3 linked regions of the Struthio camelus genome follow. The protein of the gene in region 1 binds, or shares a complex with, the protein of each later gene. Links are inferred from orthologs where the notes say so. Each region holds a gene or a part of one and is shown in the gene's direction. Other genes may lie near its edges.

Evidence for each region. Proteins that work in one complex are often made in the same cells at the same time.
Region 2: RBL1 (region 1) and MYBL1 share a complex: the UniProt entries of both Homo sapiens proteins name them as parts of the DREAM complex. The link is inferred for Struthio camelus from reciprocal best matches to the Homo sapiens genes RBL1 and MYBL1.
Region 3: the proteins of RBL1 (region 1) and TFDP1 are in contact, whole or in part, in a crystal structure (PDB 5TUV), measured with the Homo sapiens proteins. The link is inferred for Struthio camelus from reciprocal best matches to the Homo sapiens genes RBL1 and TFDP1. Residues at the interface, in NP_002886.2 of Homo sapiens: Tyr1004, Phe1006, Asn1007, Ser1011, Leu1014, Ile1017, Asn1018, Ile1021; in NP_009042.1 of Homo sapiens: Pro260, Phe261, Ile262, Thr290, Phe291, Glu292, Ile293, His294, Asp295, Ile297, Glu298.

Annotation. Positions count from the first base shown.
Region 1 is NC_090959.1:872,786-879,658, reverse strand, and holds the start of RBL1 (retinoblastoma-like protein 1), read left to right. Parts: upstream 1-3,863; 5' UTR 3,864-3,904; coding exon 3,905-4,042; intron 4,043-4,963; coding exon 4,964-5,097; intron 5,098-6,094; coding exon 6,095-6,295; intron 6,296-6,873. UniProt on the Homo sapiens protein: Key regulator of entry into cell division. Directly involved in heterochromatin formation by maintaining overall chromatin structure and, in particular, that of constitutive heterochromatin by stabilizing histone methylation.
Region 2 is NC_090943.1:132,430,903-132,437,861, forward strand, and holds the start of MYBL1 (myb-related protein A), read left to right. Parts: upstream 1-3,940; 5' UTR 3,941-4,086; coding exon 4,087-4,106; intron 4,107-6,959. UniProt on the Homo sapiens protein: Transcription factor that specifically recognizes the sequence 5'-YAAC[GT]G-3'.
Region 3 is NC_090942.1:156,567,556-156,575,296, reverse strand, and holds the start of TFDP1 (transcription factor Dp-1), read left to right. Parts: upstream 1-4,722; 5' UTR 4,723-4,937; intron 4,938-5,103; exon of another isoform or gene 5,104-5,154; intron 5,155-5,342; exon of another isoform or gene 5,343-5,650; intron 5,651-5,728; exon of another isoform or gene 5,729-5,973; intron 5,974-5,988; exon of another isoform or gene 5,989-6,400; intron 6,401-6,577; 5' UTR 6,578-6,651; coding exon 6,652-6,663; intron 6,664-7,741. UniProt on the Homo sapiens protein: Can stimulate E2F-dependent transcription.

The DNA of each region.
Region 1 (6,873 bases):
GAGCAAATCTTTTTCAAACATATGTAGGTGCTTGGATTAAAGCTAGTATTTAGGTTAAGCAACAGTTTCAAAAGCCTCCAAGTTGAACCGATTTTCAGTGAGAAACAGGCTCTACTATAGCGTGGCTCCTTTTTTACCCAAAGTACTGACAGCTTTAGGTAACTAAAGACTATTAACTCTTGCGTGGGAACAATCTATGTGGCAACTGCAAACAAAGTTGTTGCGTTGCCATTTGTGTGTAATTCCTGCTGCAGAGCTAGAGCGACTTCTCATAAAACGGTGCCTAGGCCTCTGCACTCTGCAGACGAACGTTTCAATAAAAACTAAAGTCAGCACCTGTTTGCTTTAAATTGTCCCATCATAAATTAGGGCAGGTCAGAAGCTGCTGTGTGAGCTTCCTCGCAGGGGGTCATTGAGGCTGGTACTGCTGAAGCTGCTCATGAACAGCAGTTTCACGAGTTAGTGAGGAAGAGCGTGGGAGGCACTCTTAACATGATGTGGAAGCGCGTCTGCTGGACCTGACTTAATCAGGCTGGTAACCTGCTCTAGGGGTGCTGGGGCTCCAGAGGTGCCCTATTCCAGCGCATGAAGATGTATTTTATGCACCGGACCATTTACTGTTAAAAACACAAGTAGTCTTGAAGCAAGGGGCTTGAAAGACAGGTCTCCTCCTTCCATCTCAAATGGGTATTTTAGCTCCCAGCTAAAGAAGTCATGCTCACTCCACGCTGTCTCCAATAATTTTTTTGTCACCTTATAAAAGGCCGAATACCTGTAACTGGAACCTTTGGCTCGGAGGGTTATAAATGTACTTTTACATGCCTAATGGCCTGCAAAACCCTTACATGGGGTACAGGTGTGCTGCGCAGCATCACCCAGTATGGGGACTGCTGCTGCCCACCGCAAGGCAGCTGGGAGCCAGCACAGCACTTGAAAGCCTGTATGGGGATAATATATTCCCAGCAAATATTTGGAGTGCTCTGAAGTACCTCAGCCATTAGTGCTATTTTAATGCTAACAGTCTGTGACTAATTAAGCCAAATTGGCAATTTTGTTCTGCCTCTGAATTTCCACTTGAACTAAATTAAAGGGAATTGATCCTATGACTGAAATTTGATTAGAACGCTGAGCTTCAACATCTTAAATTTAACATGCACTCAGATCCACTGATCCAGCGAAGTATTTAAGTACATGCTTAACTCTAAAGCTATGAATAATCCCACAAATGGGAATAACTTTCAAAAACATGTTTATAGGCACCGCAGAACAGGGGCTGAACGCTTTACAAAGTAGGTAACTTGTGCTCAGTTGAACGATGGGAAACTGGAGTTACCTGAGCAGTTTTCCAGTTTATATCTCTACTGAGGGGCCAAATGCCCTCATTCTACTTGTAAAAGCGACTGAACTTAATTGGATGTACCATAAATGTTTGTGCTGCAGTACTTTGAATTGTCAGCACTGATGCGGCCAGATACTGAACATCCCTCAGATTCATTTCTCTGATCGTGGTTTCACTTCCTTCCTTGCCTGTGACCATCCCTCCCTCACTGTCCTCAGCAGCTCTTCCCTCTCTTTCCTGTAAGCCCCAAATTCAGCTGCAAACAGCCCCAGCCCTCCTAGCCCCCCTCCTCGGCACGCGCAGCCCTCGGGGCAGCCTGCGGAGCTCACCCCGCGCCCACCTCGTCCCCCTTCGCCCGCCGGTTTCTCCTGGTGCAGCACCAGCACGGCTGCTGGGAAGAGCGGCTGCAGCTACTGTGGCTTAAAATCGGCCTCATGAGTTTAAGTCACTTTTAAGGAAGCTTTCAAACAGGACAAGCTGTCCAAACCCTGAGACGTTTCTAACTTTCTTTTCTAGTCTTCTTTCTTTTTGCTCCCTAAAAGCCGCCCGCCCCTCTCATTGGAAAGTTAGTGCATCCTCCCCTGCCTCAGACTCCGGCCCTGGTTGCAAGCATGGCAAGCAGGGCCCCCGTGAAATGACAGTGTTTTCCTGCTTTCCTGAACAGCGGCTTGGACACAAAGTCTGTGGTTTTCTCAGTGGGCAGAGAGTCAACAGTAATATAGTGGCTCACCTGTCCCTGTGTGGTTGCCTGTCCCTACCGGCTAACTTCTTAGGTTCACTCAACGATAAGGCGTAAATATGCTTGTTATTTTAGTTCTTTCAAAATTATTAATCGTTCCCCACAGCGGTAATAGTACCAGTTTAAACCCAAGGTGGGGTATACAAACAAGGATGCGGCTCAGGTCTCTCAAACGGTTCATTTCGTATCACAGCGAAGGTGACGGCATGAAATACCCCTGGAGTTTCGGCAGGTAAAGAGGAGAAGACAAAGGTCAGTGGGATCACAGGTGCCCCAGGATCTTTGCCATTTGAGAGCAAAGGGTGTTAGAGAGAGCGACTGCAGCCAGCCGGAAAGCCCGGCACGGAGGCGTCTCCGCACAGCAGCGTTACACCGAGACCGGTGATGATGAAGAAGGAAGAAACGGTCTTGCTGTTTGGCGCAAACTTGCCCGCGCGTTGTGCTTCCGCTTCCACGGAGAAAGCCTCAGCGCAACCCCGGAGCGAAGCGCAGCGCAGCGCGAGAGGACACCTGCGTTCCACCTTCGGCAACGAGCGCCAAGCTGCTCTGATCTCCACAGAGCGCGCCTGCCAGCCCGGCGCTGCGGTGGCGCGGCAGGCCCGTCCCGGGCGGCGTCGGTGGCCGGCCGGGCCCCCGCCGCCCCCCGTCCCCCTACGTGTAACCCCACGTTCGCAGGACGGGGGCGGGTCCTGCGTTTACTTCTGCCAGCTGTTTCGCTGCACATTTGCTAGAAAATCCCTCCAGTTTGAGGCGGATTGCCTGGCGCCCGTTCATATCTTGATGTTGGGAATATTTTTTAAAGTCATCAACTGTTTCTTGCTGGTCTTTGTAGTCAGCCCGTTTAAAAATAGCACAAACAGCTATCGATGAATGCAGCCACATCAATGCTGAAAAATAAAGCGATCTAGCCAGCTTTCCACAGCAGCGTCGTTACCAGCATTGCCTGCTGTCACGAGGCCCCAGAGAGCAGGAACCGCCGTCCTGCCCTGGGGACACTCTGCGGTTCCTGGCCGAGGAGGCTGAGCGCGGCATCTGCCAGACGCTACCTGCTGCCCTCCCGGCCCACGGGCCGGAGATGCTGCAGGTGGCCAAGCAGTCGCGTCCCCCCGGCAACTCCCCAGCCCAGCCCCTCTCCTCCCCTCCGATCTGCTGACAGCTGACTGCAGCAGCTGAAAGCGCCTTTCTCGTCCGTCACATCCCATTTTTCTCCCTGGGGTCACAGCTTCCCAGCAGCTTAAGCCAATTAAAAATCCTTCCGCGCCCCACCACCCGCTCCCCGCCTCGGCGCTGGCAGTCGAGCAGAGCATGGCCGGCCGCTTTGGGGGCTGTATTCAGGCAGAGATGAGCCCAACCAAAAAAAAAAAAAATTGTAACAAGATCACGTCCCAGAACCAGCTTGCCGCAAGACCCTGTGAATGTGGGACCTGCCAAAAAATAAATGAATGAAAGGAGAACGAGAGAGAGGGCAGAACGTTTCGTTTTGATTTTAATAATACCGGTAATCGGGAACCGGTAGTCCTCATTACCTCGATAACAAACAGCACGTTAACACTGTTTTGCCTTAAGCTGCCACGAAACGACATCCTCGTTTTGCGAGCAGGTAATGCAGCGGCGGGCACAGAGCGGCGGCCCCGCGCCGGGACGGGCTGCGAGCGCCCCAGCAACCGCCCGCCTCGCCGCCGGGCCCGGCCGCCGCCCCGCCGCCCGTTCCCGCCAAAAGAGGGCGGGGCGCGGCGGAAGGGGCCGGTCCCTTCCGGGTGAGGGGGAGTTGGCGCGCGGGGCCTGCGGGAGCGGAGCCGCCGGGCCGGGCCGGGCCGGGCCCCGCCATGTCCCGCGCGGAGCCGCCGCCCGCCGAGCCCGGCGCCGCCGTCGAGCGCCTCTGCCAGGAGCTGAACCTGGACGCGGCCAGCGCCGCCGAGGCGCTGCGCGACTTCACGGCGCTGCGCGGCACCTACAGCCTGGAGGTGAGGGCGGCGGGGCCGGGCCGGGCCGGGCCGCGCCGCCTGTCAGCGGGTGCCGCGGGGGCGGCCGGCCCCGCCGGGGCGCGGCGCTTCGCGCGCTCGTCGCTGCCCGCGGGCCGGGCGCGCCCGGGGGCACCGGGACGCGGTGGGTCGGGGCGGGGCGGCGGCGGCGCGGCCCGGCCCGGGGCCGCTGTCATCCTGCCGCCGCCCCGGGCTGCCGCGGTTGGGCCGGAAGGAGCAGTTCGGGGGTTCCTGTGGCTCCGACTCGCCGTCGCTTGTGAGCGCTAGAGCGCAGAGGCCAGTGTGAGCTCGTCAAATAACAAATGAAACAGATTTGCACGCCCAGAAAAAGCCGCTGCTGGTAGGAGCTGATTCGGCTGTGGCTGGGTGCTGAAACCGCCCTTTAAATTTAGGTGGCAAATATGCAGCCAATACACTATTCGTTTATCTCCTAATCCCTCTTCAATGGGAAAGCGTATTGCAAAAACCTGGTCTTAAGAACTCATTAGTTCTACTTGAAATTCGTTTCTCTTCAGCCACATGGGCATGTGCTTACTGTAATCCTCAGTTAGAAAATATATCCGGAGGAGTCTGAAAGATGTCAGCTGTTGCATTAGCCTCGGTGGCCAAATTACACTGTGTACTTTTTGTTTTTTCTTTCAAAAAATACATCCTCTGCCCTCTCTATTATTGCAAGTTGAATGGAAAAACAGAACAGTAACCTCCTTGTGTATGTGTATGCGCATAGATATATGTTTTTGTATAAGTTCCGCAAAACGTGCGGAGAAGAAAGCCCTCCAGCTCCCCACATGCTGGTTCTCGTTATTGTCACCAGAGGTTTTTGGAGGCTCTGTAAAGCTGAGGTGTAAGCTGAGCGCAGCCTTTCCTGGCTCAGCAGTCTGGTGCCTTGCTGTGGTTTGGCAGGGAGAAGTTGTCCATTGGCTGGCATGCGCTCTGTACGTCGCCTGCCGCAAGAGCGTCATTCCGACCGTTGGAAGCGGCCTTATGGAAGGAAACTGCGTCTCGCTGACCAGGATACTACGTTCGGCCAAATTAAGGTTAATTTTTTCACGTTGTTACTTATTGTGGAAGTCCCAGAATCTGACTCTTCCAGTATGTAAGGTAGTAATTTATTGTTCCATTAGCGTATGCTTAGTAATTTAGGCACCCAGGCTTTTATTTTTGTCAAGACTCCAAGCACTGCAAAACTTGCATGTCCCGAGGTAACGTTGTAAAAGCAATAAATCCTCTTTCGTTACAAATGGAAATAAGATGCAAATACTTTTTTTTTTTTTTTCCCTCCGAGTTCAACTTCAATCCTTTGAAAAACCACCCACATCAGACTAACAGTTGTTCCACCCACAGAGTTGGGTTTTTTCTTTTTGTAGTTAATTGAAACACAATTGAGACTTCTGAATGTTTCATTAGTAATCCAGATAAAACCTGTATTTGACTCGGGATTTAGGCCAAATTGCCAGATTCGGTCTTGACTGCTATGTCGTTTGGCGTTTTTGGGGACGCAGAACTGCGCGATTGCATAAATACTTATGTGCTTCAAGGTTTTTCCAGTAGATAGCTCTGCTTACATAGATGCTGCCACTATAATTGTAACCAATGATATAACTGAAATGAATGAATTTCATGTTCCATTTAAAGAACCATTTTCAGCTGGACTGCCAAAGGGATTTTTGCCGCTGTAATTACACCTGCATTTAATGTTTTTTTGTCTAGGTAGCTTTGATAGGCATGGACTCATGTTTTTGTTGCCTCCCCTCCCTCCCCCTTAACAGTCGCGTAGCTATGTACGCTCTTTCCGTCTGTAGCCCTCCCTTAACCAGCGTTGCTGTGCTGGCAGCCTTTGAATGCGAGTAAGGTTTTTCCATGTCTGTGGCTTCAAGAGAGTCAAGAGGAATAAATACAGAAGCTAAAAGCTTCCAACGTGTACAGTTTGGCAGTGCATCAAAATAAAGGCATTTTGCCTTGGTCAGAAATTCACAGAATAAATACACTTAGTTAAAGCTCAAAATAAAACAGATTTTTCTTTTTTCTTTGAAGTTTAATTCAGTTTTTTAGCAAAATGAAAAAGTGGATGGACATGTCAAATCTACCACAGGAGTTCCGAGAGCGAGTAGAGAGGCTGGAGAGAAATTTTGAAGTGTCAACTGTGATTTTCAAAAAGTTTGAACCAATATTTTTGGATGTATTTCAAAACCCTTACGAAGAAACTTCTAAACCACAACGAAGCAGGAAACAGAGGTATTTGTGAGGCTTAATGTGACTTTTCCCTGGAAAGGGCTACCTATGGTACAGCTTTACAAAAATTAAGATCATGTTTTGTGCTTTAAAAAGTCCGGGAAGGTTCTGAAGTGGTAGGGTCACTTTGCTTTGTGGCCTTGACTCTGAAATGCAATGAATAAAGAAGGACCCCTCCATCTTGCTGGGATAGTGCTGATATGAGCAGAGCTTTTCCTCTGTATGTTGTTTCTGCAATTCACTGTAGGATTCGGATATTGGCTTGTAATGAGAATGTCTCTGTATGATGGGAAGAGCTACAGTGAGATAGATTAACTCCCGCAAAGAGCAGTACTGATGATGTTTAGCCAAAATAACTGAAGTAATACAGGGGTATTTTGTCTTGGCAAAGTACCTCCTCAGGTAGTTGATGTCCTGAAATAATCCGTCTGTACAGTCTTAGCTGCCTGTGCTGAATGGGAAAGCATTTCCAGTTCCGTGGCTTTGGATGATCTCTACGCCAAACTCAATGCAGGAGAAGAAGCTGTAATACAAGTAATAGTTGCATGTGTTGAAGGGATGACTGATGCTTTGGTAAAATA
Region 2 (6,959 bases), on another chromosome or scaffold:
GAGCGCATGTGGGGTGATTATTTTTTCCTGTAGATCCAGTACTATTCATAAATTAAGTAGAAACTATATATTGGGTGTGTTATCCAAACATGGATGACGTGTATATAAATAACATGAGATAGTTGAAGAACTTTACAATATGGGTTTATTTCTTTGTAAGTTTGCTTCCTGTGTAGCTTTTGCGTGACGTCGGGGTATTGTTAGACTAGATCAATTTCACAGCTCATATCTTTCCACAGTGCTGAAATATCTCAAAGGAGAATGCAGTTGGGTTTAAAACATACAAATGAATCTATTATTCCAGCTAGTATTCAAAATGACCATCAATAAGCCTTAAAGCAATCAAAATCATTTGCTGCTGCTCACATGTTACATTCTGGGGAAAATATTACCAATTCTGATGTAAATGACTACAGATTTCTCAAAGAAATGCATCCGCTGCCTGGGCTGAGAACAAAATAAGGTGCCTGAATGTTTCTGTCGTATACAGTTAATGTTTATAAAATGGAGTAAATTTTTTCTTTCCCTGTGATCAAATGCCAATAGCAATCAAGGTTAACTGCTGTGTCACTGTTGTTGAGCCACTGTATTTCAAAACTCTAGTGCAAGAGTATGGAGGTTGCACTTATTGGCTTAAGAACTTAATCGTATTGTAGAAGAAATGAGAGTACCCTATGGTGGCATACAGTATGTTGAAAAACGTTCCAGTACAGAGGTAGACCTTTCTCCTTCACTGAGCTCCACATGCTGGCATTAGGCCCCAGCTCTAATAAACCTTGAAATTCATGCCTGCGCTGTTCTCGAGCTTCTGAGAGTGCACCAAATCGCCTAAATAAATGTCCCTAAAAATCCCTATTTGAATTTTCAGCTTCCGATAATTTTTTGAGTTTTGAAACGGTTACATTTTCTTTATGCTTATAACTCAGCTTCAAAGTTTTGTTTGAATGAGGCTTCATGCATACCACTAGCTTGCAGCTTAAGACTTGGTGTAGGGGGATATCGAGAAAACACACAGATTATACTAGAATCTAGTTTGAATTTCATGGCAGTTGCATGTTCAGGAAGTTACTTTCTCTATTGTGGTGTTTACCAATCTTCTGTAAGTAAATCTGTCTCTGAAGTGAAGACAAAACATGTGTTTAAAAGAAGAAACCATGTGCTGTTTTGATGTCTCCTTTGGCACCATTCGAGAAGGTAAAAATCACAGTAAAGAGCTGAGTGTTAGGGCCTCTGCACCCAAGAACTGCAATCCATCATCCCTTTTTAGATACTTTATCCCTTAAATGCAATCAGAAGACATGAGCGTGGTACCTGCAGTACCTCGGGCGTCTGAAACAGCAGCAGCGCAGCAAAGTCCTGCCTGAATCAGTGCATTTATGCTGTGCCTGCCTAAAAGCTGATCACCGAGGAAAGGAGATCTTTAAACACCGACTCCAAGGGGAAGGTGCTCCCAGGTATTTTGGCTCACTTGCTCACAACCCCTATCGTTCGGGCAGGCCTTCGCTCCGAGGAACCCTGCAGGGTTTGTGTTTCTGTTTACACAGCCACAAGAGGATGTGGTGAGGCATTTGGGTGCTTCTCCTTTTGTACAACAGCGTGGTGGTTAGGGCCATCGCCCAATAAGTGGGATGGCTGGGCTTGAGTAAACCCGCATTTCTTGTTTCTCAAGCAAGTGCTTAACCACTGGGCATCACAATTTTTTGGAGGAGGGGGAAACGGGAGGGAAGGGGGAAGGGCTATCTCTGAGCTGCTTGCTGAGACTGTGCTCCTGCCTGGCAAAGAATTGCAGAGTCACTGGCCCAAAGAGAGACTGTTCCTATATATTTACATTAAACTAGCAGTTGGGAACATACAGATGGGCCTGGAAGCAGCAACCCTGCTGCTTCCTCCCAGGGGCTACCTAACCGCTACGGATGGACTCAGCCTCCCTCATTTTTACTCGCTCTTACGACTACCATGATTTATTTTTTGGTTTTTTCCCCCCCTCCTCATTCTCCTCTCCTTCACACAACTTTTGAAAAGAGGAATAAGGAGTATTTCCAGGCCCGAGGACTTTATTCTGATGCGCTTTCCTGGGAGGTGGGAAACGCTGAGCTGAAGCAGAGGGGCAGGTGGGTCTGGCTCAGCCCGGAGCGGCGGTGTGAAGGACAGCGGCAGCACGCGAGACGTGCAAACCGGCACCGCAGCCGTTGCCCTCCTGGGTCACGTTTCGACGACGGGGACGGCTGCCGCAGGTTTTTAGCTAGGCGCTGGCTTTGCCAGACTTGGACCGGGTAAAGATCTTGATCTAAAGCTGGTCTGATCCGAGGCAGTTCATCGGCCTCCAGGGATCTTAGAGTTCATAACTGGCAGTGTCTGTGAAATATAGGCACGTCCAGGGCTAGTCAGACCTTGGGCTTTTAGTATTACAGCTGTGGATTTAGGCACGTGATTTATCCGTGGTAAACACTTAAGGTGAGAAATACTATGCATTTAAGTGTATCTCATCTAGGACAAAATTAATAATTCTATATATTCACGATCTATTCATCATCACAATACTATATATTCATATTCTTTTTCACTTTCTAGTTTTCATGGCCTTTTTGCTTACGGCTGCACACAGTGGAAGAAATGCGTAGTTAGACTAAGTCCCGAGTTCCTGAAATAAAAATGGCATAGAGGTACTTAGAGTGAACGTGAAAATACACACACACACAAATATAAAAATTCAAGCCTCGGGTGTTTTTTTTGTTTTTGTTTTTAAATACAACTGTTTATTACAAGGTGTGTGAAAGTCGCTACTTCCCGAAGAGCGCAAGAACTAAGAGCAGTGTCTGCTGTAACGGGCTCTGTCGCGGCGGCAGCGGCTGCTGCTGCTGCTCGGCGGCGGCGCTGCCCGAGGTGGGGGTCGGCCGCAGCCCCGGCGCCACCGCGAGGGGCGCGGCGAGGCTGTAAGGCGCGGGACGGGCGCTTCAGGCAGCTCCCTTCGATAGCTCAGCTGGTAGAGCGGAGGACTGTAGAGGCGCCGCCCGCCCGCGGGAATCCTTAGGTCGCTGGTTCGATTCCGGCTCGAAGGAGGCTTGGTTTTGCGCCGTGCGGCGGCGCGCTGAAAGCGTCGGTTTTTTTTTTTTTTTTTAATTTTTTTTTGCCAGTCAGGAGCGCGCGCGCCACGTCTGACAGCGCCCGGGGCACCGCGCCGCGCCGAGGCGCCGCTCGCGGCTCCGGGCTGCCCGCCCCCAGCGACGCGGCGTTATACGGGGCGGGGGGGGGGGGGGGGGAGCGGGCTGGCGGCGAGCCGAGCTCGGGCCTCCGCCGCCCCCGCCCGCGGCGCCGCCGCCGCCCTGTCAGCGGCGAAGACTCGCTCCCCCGTCATGCCTCGCGCCAGCCGCCCCCCCCGTCCCCGTCGCAGGCCGGCCCCGCCCCCCTTTCCCCCTCCCCCCGTCCCCCCGTCCCGCGGGACGCGCGGCCCCGCCCCGGTCGCGTGCGGCGGCGGCAGCCAATGGGGCGGCAGTCCGCCTGCGCAGATTCAAACGGTGGCTCTGGAAGGAGGCTGGGCGCGAGATTCGGCGGCACCATCCAAACCCGCCGCGAGCGCGGCGGTGGCGGCGCAGCCCGGACCGCGGGGCCGGCGGAGGGCCGGGGCGGCCAGCGGGCCGGGCCGGACTGAGGCGGCACGGCACGGGAGGAGGCGAGACGAGGCCCGGCGGGGAAGCGGCTCGGGGCGGGAGGGCGCCGCCGGAGCCCGCGGCGGCTCTGACAGGAGCGAGAAGGCGCAGCTGGGCGAGAGCGGGGCCCCTGCGCGTCCCGTGCTTGCGGGCAGCGGCCGGGCTGAGGCCGAGCCATGCCTGCCGCGGCGGGTGCGGGGCCGGGCCGGGGCTGAGGGCGGCCGCCAGCGGGCTCTGGATGCCGCGGAGCTGCGCGGGGAGAGGGGAGCCGTCAGAGGAGCCGCGCCCGCCTGAAGTCACCGCCAGCCGCCCGCCGCCCGCCGCGACGCTGTCCCTTCCGCCGCCCCGGGGCGGCCAGCGGGGCGGCTGCGGGAGGAGGAGCCCGGGCGGGGGCTGCACCCTGCTGCCTTGGCGCCCCCCCCCATGGTGCGCCCCGAGGATGGCGAAGAGACCGCGCAGGTGAGTGTGGCTGCGCGAGCGCTGCGCCATCTTACCCCTCCCCCGGCCAGGCCTGCCCGGTGCCGCCCCCCCCCCCCTCCGCGGCTCCCCGGGCCGGGCTGTGCCGGCTCCGCTCGTGGCCTCCCGCGCTCTGGTGTCGCTCCCGCTGTCCCTCTCAGCCCTCCTGGCCCTGCACCCCCACAGGCGCGGCACCCGTCTTCCCCCTGGCTGCCCCGCATCACCTCGCGGGTATAAACTGCTCCTCGCACCTGTAGGCTGCTCCCACCTGCGCCCTTTTTTGCTCTGCCTCTTTGTTGTAGCTTACCTAGGCAACCTCCTCGGCTCCTGCTTCTTGCGGTCGCTGGCCCTGTCCCCCACGACAACTTTGCTTCCACAGTGACTTTTCCTGCTGCTTGTTTTCCTGCTGCTGGTGTGTTATTTCTTGCTTTTCTATTTCTGAGTTGTTTCTGCGCTGCCTGCATGTCAGGCTTGAGGCTTGAAATTGATGTTCAGGCCTGCTGCTTGGCCGAATATCTTAAATGAACCCGTTTACTCTCACTTGGCATGTTCCTTGATTGAGGATGTCATAAGCTAGCCTGAAATCTCCTGAAGAGCGTTTCTCTCAAACTTCAACAGCAGCCCCAGATACACTTTTCTTTCATTTATAAGAAAACACATGTGTCTTCACTTTGTATTTAAAAGATGAATGTTGGAGAACTGTTTTATTGCCATGGTTATTTTTGCCCTGAATAGAAAATCAGTTTCTGAAAACTGATAAAGTAGTGCTTTAAAAAAGGATTGGGACTGAGAAAGCTTTCACATTAGTATTACTCATTTAGCATCTTTTCCTATCTATGGCATCTGGGGTTTGCTGTGAAACCATGCTTCCTGTGGAAGTGAGGATGGCTTCAAAGTTTCACTTACAAAATCTACTAAACCTGCCTGTGCTGCATCTCTTCTGAAGAGTGAAAGAGTTCACAAATTAATATTATTTTTCTGCAAAACTGAAAGTCAAACAAGAAGGCAGTACTTTTGGGCTGTAATTGTGTAAGAAATGGGGAAAGGTTCATTAAGAGGCTTTGCTTGCAGAGGGTAGCTGCTGGAACTGTCATAATTTAGCAGTCTGCAAGACAACAGTGCATAGAGAGTGTTTTCTGTTACTCTTAACTTGCATTCCGTAACTTCAGAAATTCCATCTATGGTATTGTAACCGATAATTTCATCTTTACAAAGCTGTAACTTGTATTTTCCCTTACGGATATGAAGTGCTTTCATCTTATATTTGAAAATAAAACTAGTTGTGGATCGCAGAGGAACTTCTGGTTCGAGATCAATAACCCTAGAAGAATACCTTATCAGTGTATGATGATGACATTCCTGAAACTAATCATCATAGTATAAGTTTACATCGAGATGCTTTCAAGATCATTAATCTAGATGTAGAGTAAGGAGGAAATATAACTGTTTTGTTCCACATGGTATTAAGTTTAATTCTGTTAAACTATGCTTGATTTTTTCGCATTTGGAAGATCTGTTTTTTTCTTTCAATGGTACCCAACTCAGAGCTGCAAAATAAAGGAAGAGAAAATCAAGGTGAGTTTTATTTGAAGATAGCTAGCACAGAATTCTTGAAGTACTTTTTTTTCCCCCCTAATGTTTCAAATTTCTTGTTTGATGAAATTACATGGCAGCGTTCCACTCTCATGCAATATTTCACTGCAGTTTCATAACTGAGAAAGGTTATTGTAGTTCCTTTGACAATTCTAACACATTTGACAGTCTCTTCTTCCCCCTAAAGCAATATCTGAAGTTAATAGCCCCAGACCTTCACATACATTTAACTTACAGTCTACTGGTGTCCCATTCTAAGCGAGGCCAAAAAGTAAACGGCGCTTCGTGTTGACCCGAGGTGCAAGGGGGCTTGCTCTGTGGTGAGCTGGTTTTCGCCCATGGACGTGGGAGGAGGGGGCCGGGGGGCGCGGGCAGGGCTTGGAATGCGCCGCCTCCCTGGAACCTGAGGGTGAATCCGTCCCAACTGCCGCTGCCAGCTGGGCCCCCACGGCTTCCGCTGCCCTCCTCGGCACCAGCGCCTTGTGTCCAGCATCCTTTTCTTTCTTTCCCCTCTTTTTAAAGTGTTGTTATTATTATTAAGCTTTTAGCATGATGTTACAAACACGAACTGAGCATCAGATGGTTCCTTGTTATCTTCCTGAATGTGAAGGCAGCTCGACCTAGAAGGGACATGTGAATTATTCCTCTCAACAGCAGTGATTCTGAAAACGGAATACAATGGGTTAAACAGAGATATTATTTCAGTTCTAATTATTTTAATAGAGCTAACTAACATTGCTAAGTTGCAGAAGATTATATATGACTATGCAGTAATGCCTGTACTGTTCTGACTTCCAAACTGTTAGTTTTAATGTGGGGAAAAAGCTGTGGTGTACCTTTGTGGAAGTTTATAGAGCACTGATCTTTACCTAACACTTTCAGTATGTCAGTGAAAAATATTTTGAACTTTAATATTAAACACCTAACCATTTTACACTTAGAATATTGATTAAAACTTTTAACCTTGAATGAAACAAAAATGAATTCAAGTCAATTTCTTCCTGCTGGTCTAGAAAGCTGGAGAAACTAGGGAGCTGTCATACTGTGTGTGTTTGATCACTGAGTTTAGGCACCCTAGTATAGCTCAAATACATGCACACTTTAATGTGTAAGGAACATAAGTCATATCTTCTCATCTCCTTGCAAATCTACAGGTGATCTAAGGATAAGTGTTAATGTTTTATGATGCAGTAATTCTTTTTAGAAGTAACGATTAGTTTATCTGAAGTTGTCACTTTTTTTTTTTTTAAGTCTTAGTTATTT
Region 3 (7,741 bases), on another chromosome or scaffold:
ATTTAAAGTGGTGTAAATACTTCCTGAAACGCAGGTAATGCCTTCATGCATAATTCTATGTCAAAATCGGACACTCTCATGATAAAAATCTTAGGATAGAAGCAACAGACGTTGTTCCTCAAAGATCTGATGTGCCTGTATGGAAAATGGGAAGAATATTTCACAACTGGTCCATGTAGATGCAGTTGCAGCTTTTTAGGAACTTACACTTGTACTCCAAAATACTTGTGGTCTCCCCCGCCCCGTGTTGAGGAGATATAAATAAAGCAGAGACCTAGAACGCCTGTAAGTAAAATCTCATGATTTTATAAAGGCTTGTTGAAGAACAGGTGGTCTTTTCTGGAAATTTTTGTTTCAGCTTGTTGGCTGATATCTGTCTCATTCTTTTACCTAATGATCAGTATTGTTTGAATACAGAAAAGCTGATGGAGGGTAGAACCTTTGTCTTTGCTGGTGATGAGTGGTTATTTCTGTGGTGAAGTGAGCTTAAGTGAGTAGAAAGGAAGGGTCTGTTCTGTATGCGAGTGGCAACTTGTTCAGCATATCTGATTTATTTATTATTTCTTTTGGCGGAGGGGAGTGTAACTGGTTGCTTGCTTTATGCATCTCAGTTTGTTTCAGGGACTGTAGCTTTCTGTCTGAGAACTGGAGTTCTTACCCGCTTGATTGCTGCTTTAGTCATTGTTGCCCATGAAGGAGAAGGAACCAAACAGTTTAAATATTCATAGCATGGACTGTACTTATACTTAGATTCCTTTTCCTATTCCCAGGGTCAGGCTGGTATGTATTGACGCACAACCACCCTACTTACAGCTCACCCCATCTAAGCAGGCTCTGCTTCAGTCTCTCAAAAGGAAAACTCTGAGAGGTGGGAGGCAGGTTTTTGGCAATTGTCACTTGCATGGGCCTAGGATAGCTCAAGGAATGCTGCCATAATGACATAGTCCATGGGACTTCCCTAACTTTGTAAAGTTTTTAAGAATTCATGTATTTTTTTAATAGTTGTTAAAGATGATGAGAAAGCAGCTTCATGGTTCCTTTTTTTTTGCCTTTTTTTTTTTTTTAAACAGTTGGACGCTCTCTGCTTTGTGGGTGGGGGGGAAGGGGGCAGCTATAGCATAAAGGAATAGTATTATATGATGAGGTTTGATAGAGGGAATGAGAAGTCTTATTGCCTGTTGGACTGAATCCAGGAGCAGTCTAACCTCAGAATCACTCCTGGCTTTTGTCTAGGGAAAGAATTTGTAGTGCTGCTCTGTAAGCAATCTGGGCAGTATTTCAGCACCAGGGCAGTGTGGAAGATGGAGGAAACTGGACCACTAAGTGACATGAGGCAAGCTATGCTGACAGTGTAGATGTTGTCACTGGAAGCAGCAACAGTTTATAAACAGCAATTAGCAGACATCCACTAGTAAACTAATCTGACAATGAGGGAGGAAACAATAGTGGAATGTGAAGGAAAAGCAGCAAGATGTCCTACAGTTGGGGAAACATGTGGCCCACCTTGCCCAAAAGGAAACAAAAGGCGAGGCAGAAAGGCATACATCTACCAACTACACTTAGTAGCTCAGGAGTCATGCCTCCTTGGTTCTCCTACTGCCTCTCTTGAGTAGTTACTGGTGCCAGGTGGGAAAAACTTTGCAACAGTGTATCACTGGAAGAGACTATGGAGTCTTGGTTGCTGGAGATTAAGAACAAATTAGACAATTGTGTGACCAGAAGGGGCTTAAGGACAACTGATCCTGCCTTGCAGAGCAAAATCTAGATCAGAGAATGGCAAACTTCCAAGGTTACAGTACCCAGCTGTATTTTTATTTCCTAAGGTAAAACAAATTTGGGAATTGGGAGATACTACCTCTAAATGAGCCCAGATGCTGAAAAGCTGATCAGTTGATACTAGCTGTCTCTTTAAGACAGTTGTGTCTGCCTTAAGATGTGCCTGCCTTAAGATGGCATAGCTTCCAGCTGTGAAGCATGCAGGTCAAAATGTGTCCCTGTGCTATCGCTGGTCTCATGTCATAGGTAGCTAACTATAGGCTAGATAACCTCTTGCAACCCGTAGTTTTCTTTGTTTCTGTGTCTTTTACACATTATGCCAGAGTGATATGACTTGAAGGTGTGATCTGTTCTCCTTTTCGAACTTATTTAAAATGAGGAGGTACACCAGAGGAGAAACAGTCGTCAATAGGGATAGCTTTCTACTACTACAAACAAAGCAAGTCCGAAAGCTCCAGAATGCCTGAGAAAAGGCCAAAAAAGGAGTGCTCAGAGATTAGAGAAACAGTGAAGATTTTTCCACTGATAAAATATTTCAAATTAGTTGTAAACAACACTATGCTTAAGAAAAAAACTGCTGGGAGTAAATAGGCTTAGGGAGTTATTAATGTGGTAAAATAAATGCTGGCAAAAGGAGGATAACATTCTCTCCTCTCACCCCCACCCCAAGCTGCATAAGGAATGGAGAACGCCTAAAGCATTAAAGGAAAAAACAAGTGCTGTACCTCTGTAGTATGTGCTTGTTCAATTGTCTCACAGGAAGTTCAGGGCAAAGACAAGAAGCTTACTGGCACGCATAAGGAACACAGCAGGATTACATGACAAATGTAAATAGAAGAACTTGAGTAATGAAAAAACAGTGGTCTTCAGTTACCATTTCTTTATTGTCTAGGATGAAGAAAGACTTGATTCACATGTTTGTAGAGAAGCTACGTAGTTTGCAAAAGCAGGTAGTGGTAGACCAGGTTCATGTTCTGTCCTTTGATTGCTACTACTCCTTTGCTCTGAAAGCTAGCATAGTTGTCTTAGTCCATACAAACCACAACTGCAAACACATTATTTTTCATTTTTATTTTTCTTTGTAAGAAGATTTTTGTCAATTTTCCTCTGTACTAGAGAAGCTAGAATTTTTCTCTTCAACCTCAAACTTTTTTAAGGTGGTGCTAGTCTGTCAGGTAGAACTCAAAACATGGGAGAAAATGCTTTGTTCCTTAGCACAGTCACTGAATTCTACCTTTTTAGAAGTATTTGCTTTTTTGTGGTCCCTTTATCCTAGGACGGGACACCCTGTCGTCTGTTGAGGATGCATTCCTGGAAATTGCAGTGCTTTGTGGTAGTTGGTATAGTGAAACAATTTTTTCCCCTAAGAATTGAGGTAATAAAGGGAGACGCATGCAGGGACTTAAGAAATATACACAGTTTAAATACACTGACACAGTATATATGGCACAGAAGATGGAGAGCAGCATCAACAACTGGAGGAGATGCTGGCTTTTTTGAGTTGTTGTGTGTGTGTTTTTTTTTTTTTTTTTTGGCTGAGGCTGGTTTTGTTGACTGGAGAGCTGACAGCTTACTGGCCTGAGATTTTGAATAGTAGCTCTCTTAATGTAGTTGAATCTTGCAATACTGCTGACAGCTTTATCTACCTGTTCTTGGAATGGGTCACCATGCAGAAAGATCTCAGCTGCTTCACCTGAGGGTCAGCTCTGGGCATTCAGGGGCAGCACTGGGGAGGTCTGTGTCTTCCTCAACAGTTACGTTTCCAATATGATTATCTTTTCAGAGGCTCACTGCTCTTCAAGCTCAGTCAAGAATGAAGAATGGAAAAATGGGTATAACCCCATTTTAGTTAGCAGAGCAGGGTACTAAATCATCAGCCATGGAACCTGAAAATAGTGAGTGACAGGTAGCAAGGTGTTACTGTAAAGGAAAAACTTGGACTGTGGCTACATTTATCAAAAGAATCAGAGTAACTAGTGTTTTCTCATTGTTAGAAAACACAACTCCAAGATTTAAAAAAAAAAAAAAAAAAGTGTAAAAGAGGTAAACTCAGTGTGAATCTAGTCAACTGATGAACCTTCTCTGGGGACTGTGACTGATTTTTCGTTCTGTTTTTATATAGTAGCTCTCCTGGTAATGTCTTTTATTCACGAATAGTCGTCTTTCCCAGGCACGATCAGGAAGTAGCACAGTTTTTGAGAAAGAAAGAATCTTTTCTTTCCTGCTCCCCTCTTGACTGTGTTACGATAACCTTATCATACACACTTGGTATTGCATGCAAAAGTTGCTGAGCAGCTCCCTCCCTCAAGCAGTCTTTTATCTGCACCTATAACCAACACAGCTTTTGAAGCATAAGGCTTTGCCTTTGCTAGTTTCTACCGTTATTGCTATGCCTTTATAGCTCCTACTATGCATGCTGAAAGTTTTTTGCCAAAAATTACATCTTTGTTGTATAATTACATCACGCAGCCCTAGCTAACAAACATCTTTTCTGCTGCTGTAGCTGCACGCGCGCTTGTCTTTCTGCTAGCATATAGAGTATGTGGAGGTTTCACATCCTTAAGTGCAAGAAATCATGCAGGCTGATTCTTTAGGGCGGATCTGGCCTAATTCAAGCACCACAGCAGCAGCTGTGTAACAGGAAAATTTTTCCCTGCAAGTGCTATGAAATGACAAGCTTGGAATGGATCAGCCTCAGTGAAGTTGCTCAAGTAACAGCAGGACAAGAAGCGATGAGGAAGCACCGGCAGGATGTTGTGGCAACTAACCACACCGTGCAAGCCGGCTCCAATTTAACAGCGTCATGGCACCCGCAGCCCCTGAAACGCTGTCAGCCGGGGCCGGGGAACGCTAGGGCTTCCCATCGGCCGCGGGCGAGGAGCGCGGAGGCGAGACGCGGCGCGGGCTGCCTGCCTCCCTCCCTCCGCGAGGAGCCCGGCGGCGGCCGGGGCCGAAGAGCAATCTCGCGCCGAGGCTTCCCGCGCGCTCGCTCCGAGCGCCGCAGGGCGGGCAGTCCGAAGGCGCGAAAATCCCGCGCATGCTCCCTCCGCCCACGGAGGGGCGGACGGTTGCCTCTAACCGCTCCGCGTGTGCCCGTGCAAGGCACGCTACACCCCCGTGACGTCAGCGCGCAGCGTCACGCCGGTGGGACGCACAAAAGTGTAAGTTTCAATTTTTTTTTTTCCTGCCAACGGGGGAAAGGAAAAAAAAAAAAGAAAGGAAAGAAAGAAAGAAAGAATCGCAGGGTCGCGCGCGCGCGCGCGCGCGGGACCCGGGGAGGGGCCGCGGTGCTGGCGCCCCCTCCGCGCCCCCCCCACCCCCCGCGGCAGCCCCGGCCAGGGGAGAGCGCGGAGGGCGGGCGGCGCGGAGCCCGCGCAGGTGTGCGGGGCCGGGGGCGGCCGGGCGGGCCCGCTCGCACCTGGGGGGGGGGCAGGCGGCGGCGGCGGTTCGCCGGGAGCCCGCCAGGCCGTTGACCCGCTGGGGCAGGGGCGGTCTGGGAAGTGACAGGCGGTGAGGCGAGCCGCCCCCCCCATGTCCCCCCCCCCCCGTGCTCTCCACGCCGCGCCGCGCCGCGCGAGGAGGGGGGCGGTCCCTGCCGGCCCCCCCTCCCCGCCTGAGCTACCGTTGGGGACCGTTGGTCGTCTCCCCCCCCCCCCCCCCAAGTCGCTGCCGCCGGCTGCCTCCTCCCCTGCCCCCTCCCGCCGGGCTCGCCAGGCCCGCGCGCGCCGCCGCCGCCGCTGCCGCACATGTGCAGTTCGGCGCCTCCGCAGCAGCGCGGCGCCGGGCGGGGGGTGCTCCTGCTCCGCGCTCCGGGTCCCTGTCTGGGGGCGGCGGCGGGGGATGGAGCCGGCTCTCTCCGCCTTCGGCCGCTCAGGTGCGGGCAGCCCGGGCCGGCCTGCGGGAGGAGGAGGAGGAGGATGGGGATGATCCGAGGGGGGTGTTGGGGGGGGGGGGGAGTTGGCGCCAGGCGAGGTGCTGCCGGCGGCGGGGCGAGGAGGATTAGGAGAGGACGGACCCCCCCCCCCGCCCGCCTGCTGCCGCCTTCCCCCCCCCCCCCCCAAGCCGCTGCCGGCGATGCCGCCTCGCGCGCGGGCGCATTTCCCCCCTTCCTCGTGCCCCCGCCGCCGCTGAGGCGATTAGCGCGGCCCCTCGCTGCTGAGGGGAAGGCGGCGCGGGGCTTAGGGCTCTGCCCGGGCGGTGAGGCCCTGGTCGGGGGGCATCGAGGGGGCGGTGGGGGAGGCGGGCGGGCGTGCTGGTGCCCGAGGCGCGGTGGCAAGTGCCCGTCTCTGCCTCTTGGTGCAGCCGCGGCCCGTCCGCCCGCGAGGGGAGGAGGAGGAAAGGGGGGTTGCGGAAGGCCCCGGGGGGAGCTGGCCCCTGAGGCCTACTTGTGCCTGCTGCTGGAAATGGGGGTGGGGAGGAGGAGGAGGCCGCCGAGGGAGTGATCTCTTCTCCCCGTCGCTTCTGCCCGCGCCCTTCTCCGCGGGGTTGCAAAGGGCGCAGCTGGACAGGGACCGGCCCAGCGTGGGCTCCGGCTGCCCTGCTGGGATCGGGTATGTGCTGGGGGAAGGGCGCTCCTGCCAGCGGAGAGCTCACCCCAGCTGTAGGATAAGGGGTATTTCTAAATGTGAGTTTGGGGTGGGGGGCACTAGGGGGTTATTTGATGATGACATAAAACTTTTTCTTCTTAAAAACATTTTTTTTTAAAAAGTAAAATGTATTTGGTGGTATTCAGTAATTTCCACGGTAAAAACTTTTCCCCCTTTCGTTCTTGTAGCTGATGTTGTCTTTACTTACTTTCTAGAAAATAGCATCAATTGTCTCTGTGTCCTGCAGCCATCAAGATTTGAAGAGGATTGATTTCTAGTCTTTGGTAACATGGCAAAAGATGTAAGTATGTTTGTAGTATGTCATATGCGGAGGAATAGCTAATATATTTTTGCTTTTGTTTTTACTAGCAGAAGGAAAGCAATTTATGCTTTACAGTAGCCGGCATTAGTGGATTTGTGGAATATACTTTTCCTCTGTTATACACCACGCTGAGACTGTTTTTCTTCAGATGTTACAACATAAAGCCAGCTTTATATCTGCAGCCATTTTTCAGAGTAATTAATCAAGGAGTCAATGTCCTCATAAAAGCACTTAAGCACTTGCGTTGGTGGCGTTATGTGTATTCACATTGGATGCTAAAAATACTTATTTTTGAGTTTACGTACATAAAAATACTGTTCAGGTGTTGAGTTTGTCACTGACTACTCTTTTATTGTTACCTGTTGACAACAGGCAAAACAGGAGTGTCAGTGCTAGTATTCTACTCAAGGAGGTATAATATATTCAGGGGAGAGTTCACTGTCCATGTGTATTCATTGTTTCTCCTCTAGCTATGAAAAGATGCTAATTGGTGTCAGTAAAACCAGGCTTTGGGGACTTTCATCATAGACTTTCATTATCATTGTCTTCAAGGTTAGTAGCTTTGATTCTGTGGCCTACCTCTCCAACCATCTATGGTATGCTTGATCTAAGCCAAAAGGTTGAGAAGTGATCTTTTTCCTCTTTACCCGTTTCAGTATTTTTTTTTTTAACAATTAGAAGAAATGTTTAAATAGATTCTGTGTTTAAAACTGAACCCTTTGTTAACGGCTAATGTAATTGGGCTTTCACGTTTCCTTATTGACAATAAGACAAGATACTACTCCGTGTTCCAATTAGAATGTATCTTCACTTAAAAAACAACTGACAAGCTGAGGAAAAGTAATATAACTTCACATTTTTAAACAGCAGGTTAAATTTTGATATGAGCTGTTGTAGCTTTCAAATAGTGAGAATTTCAGTGCAACAGTGATTGGTTTAACAAATTAATCCTGCAGAGAATTTGAGTAGTTCAGAAGCAATTGAAAAACATCTTAATGTACAGAGAAGCAACGAGAAATACATAGTCACTCAAAGCTTGCCTGGCAAAGATAAGCGT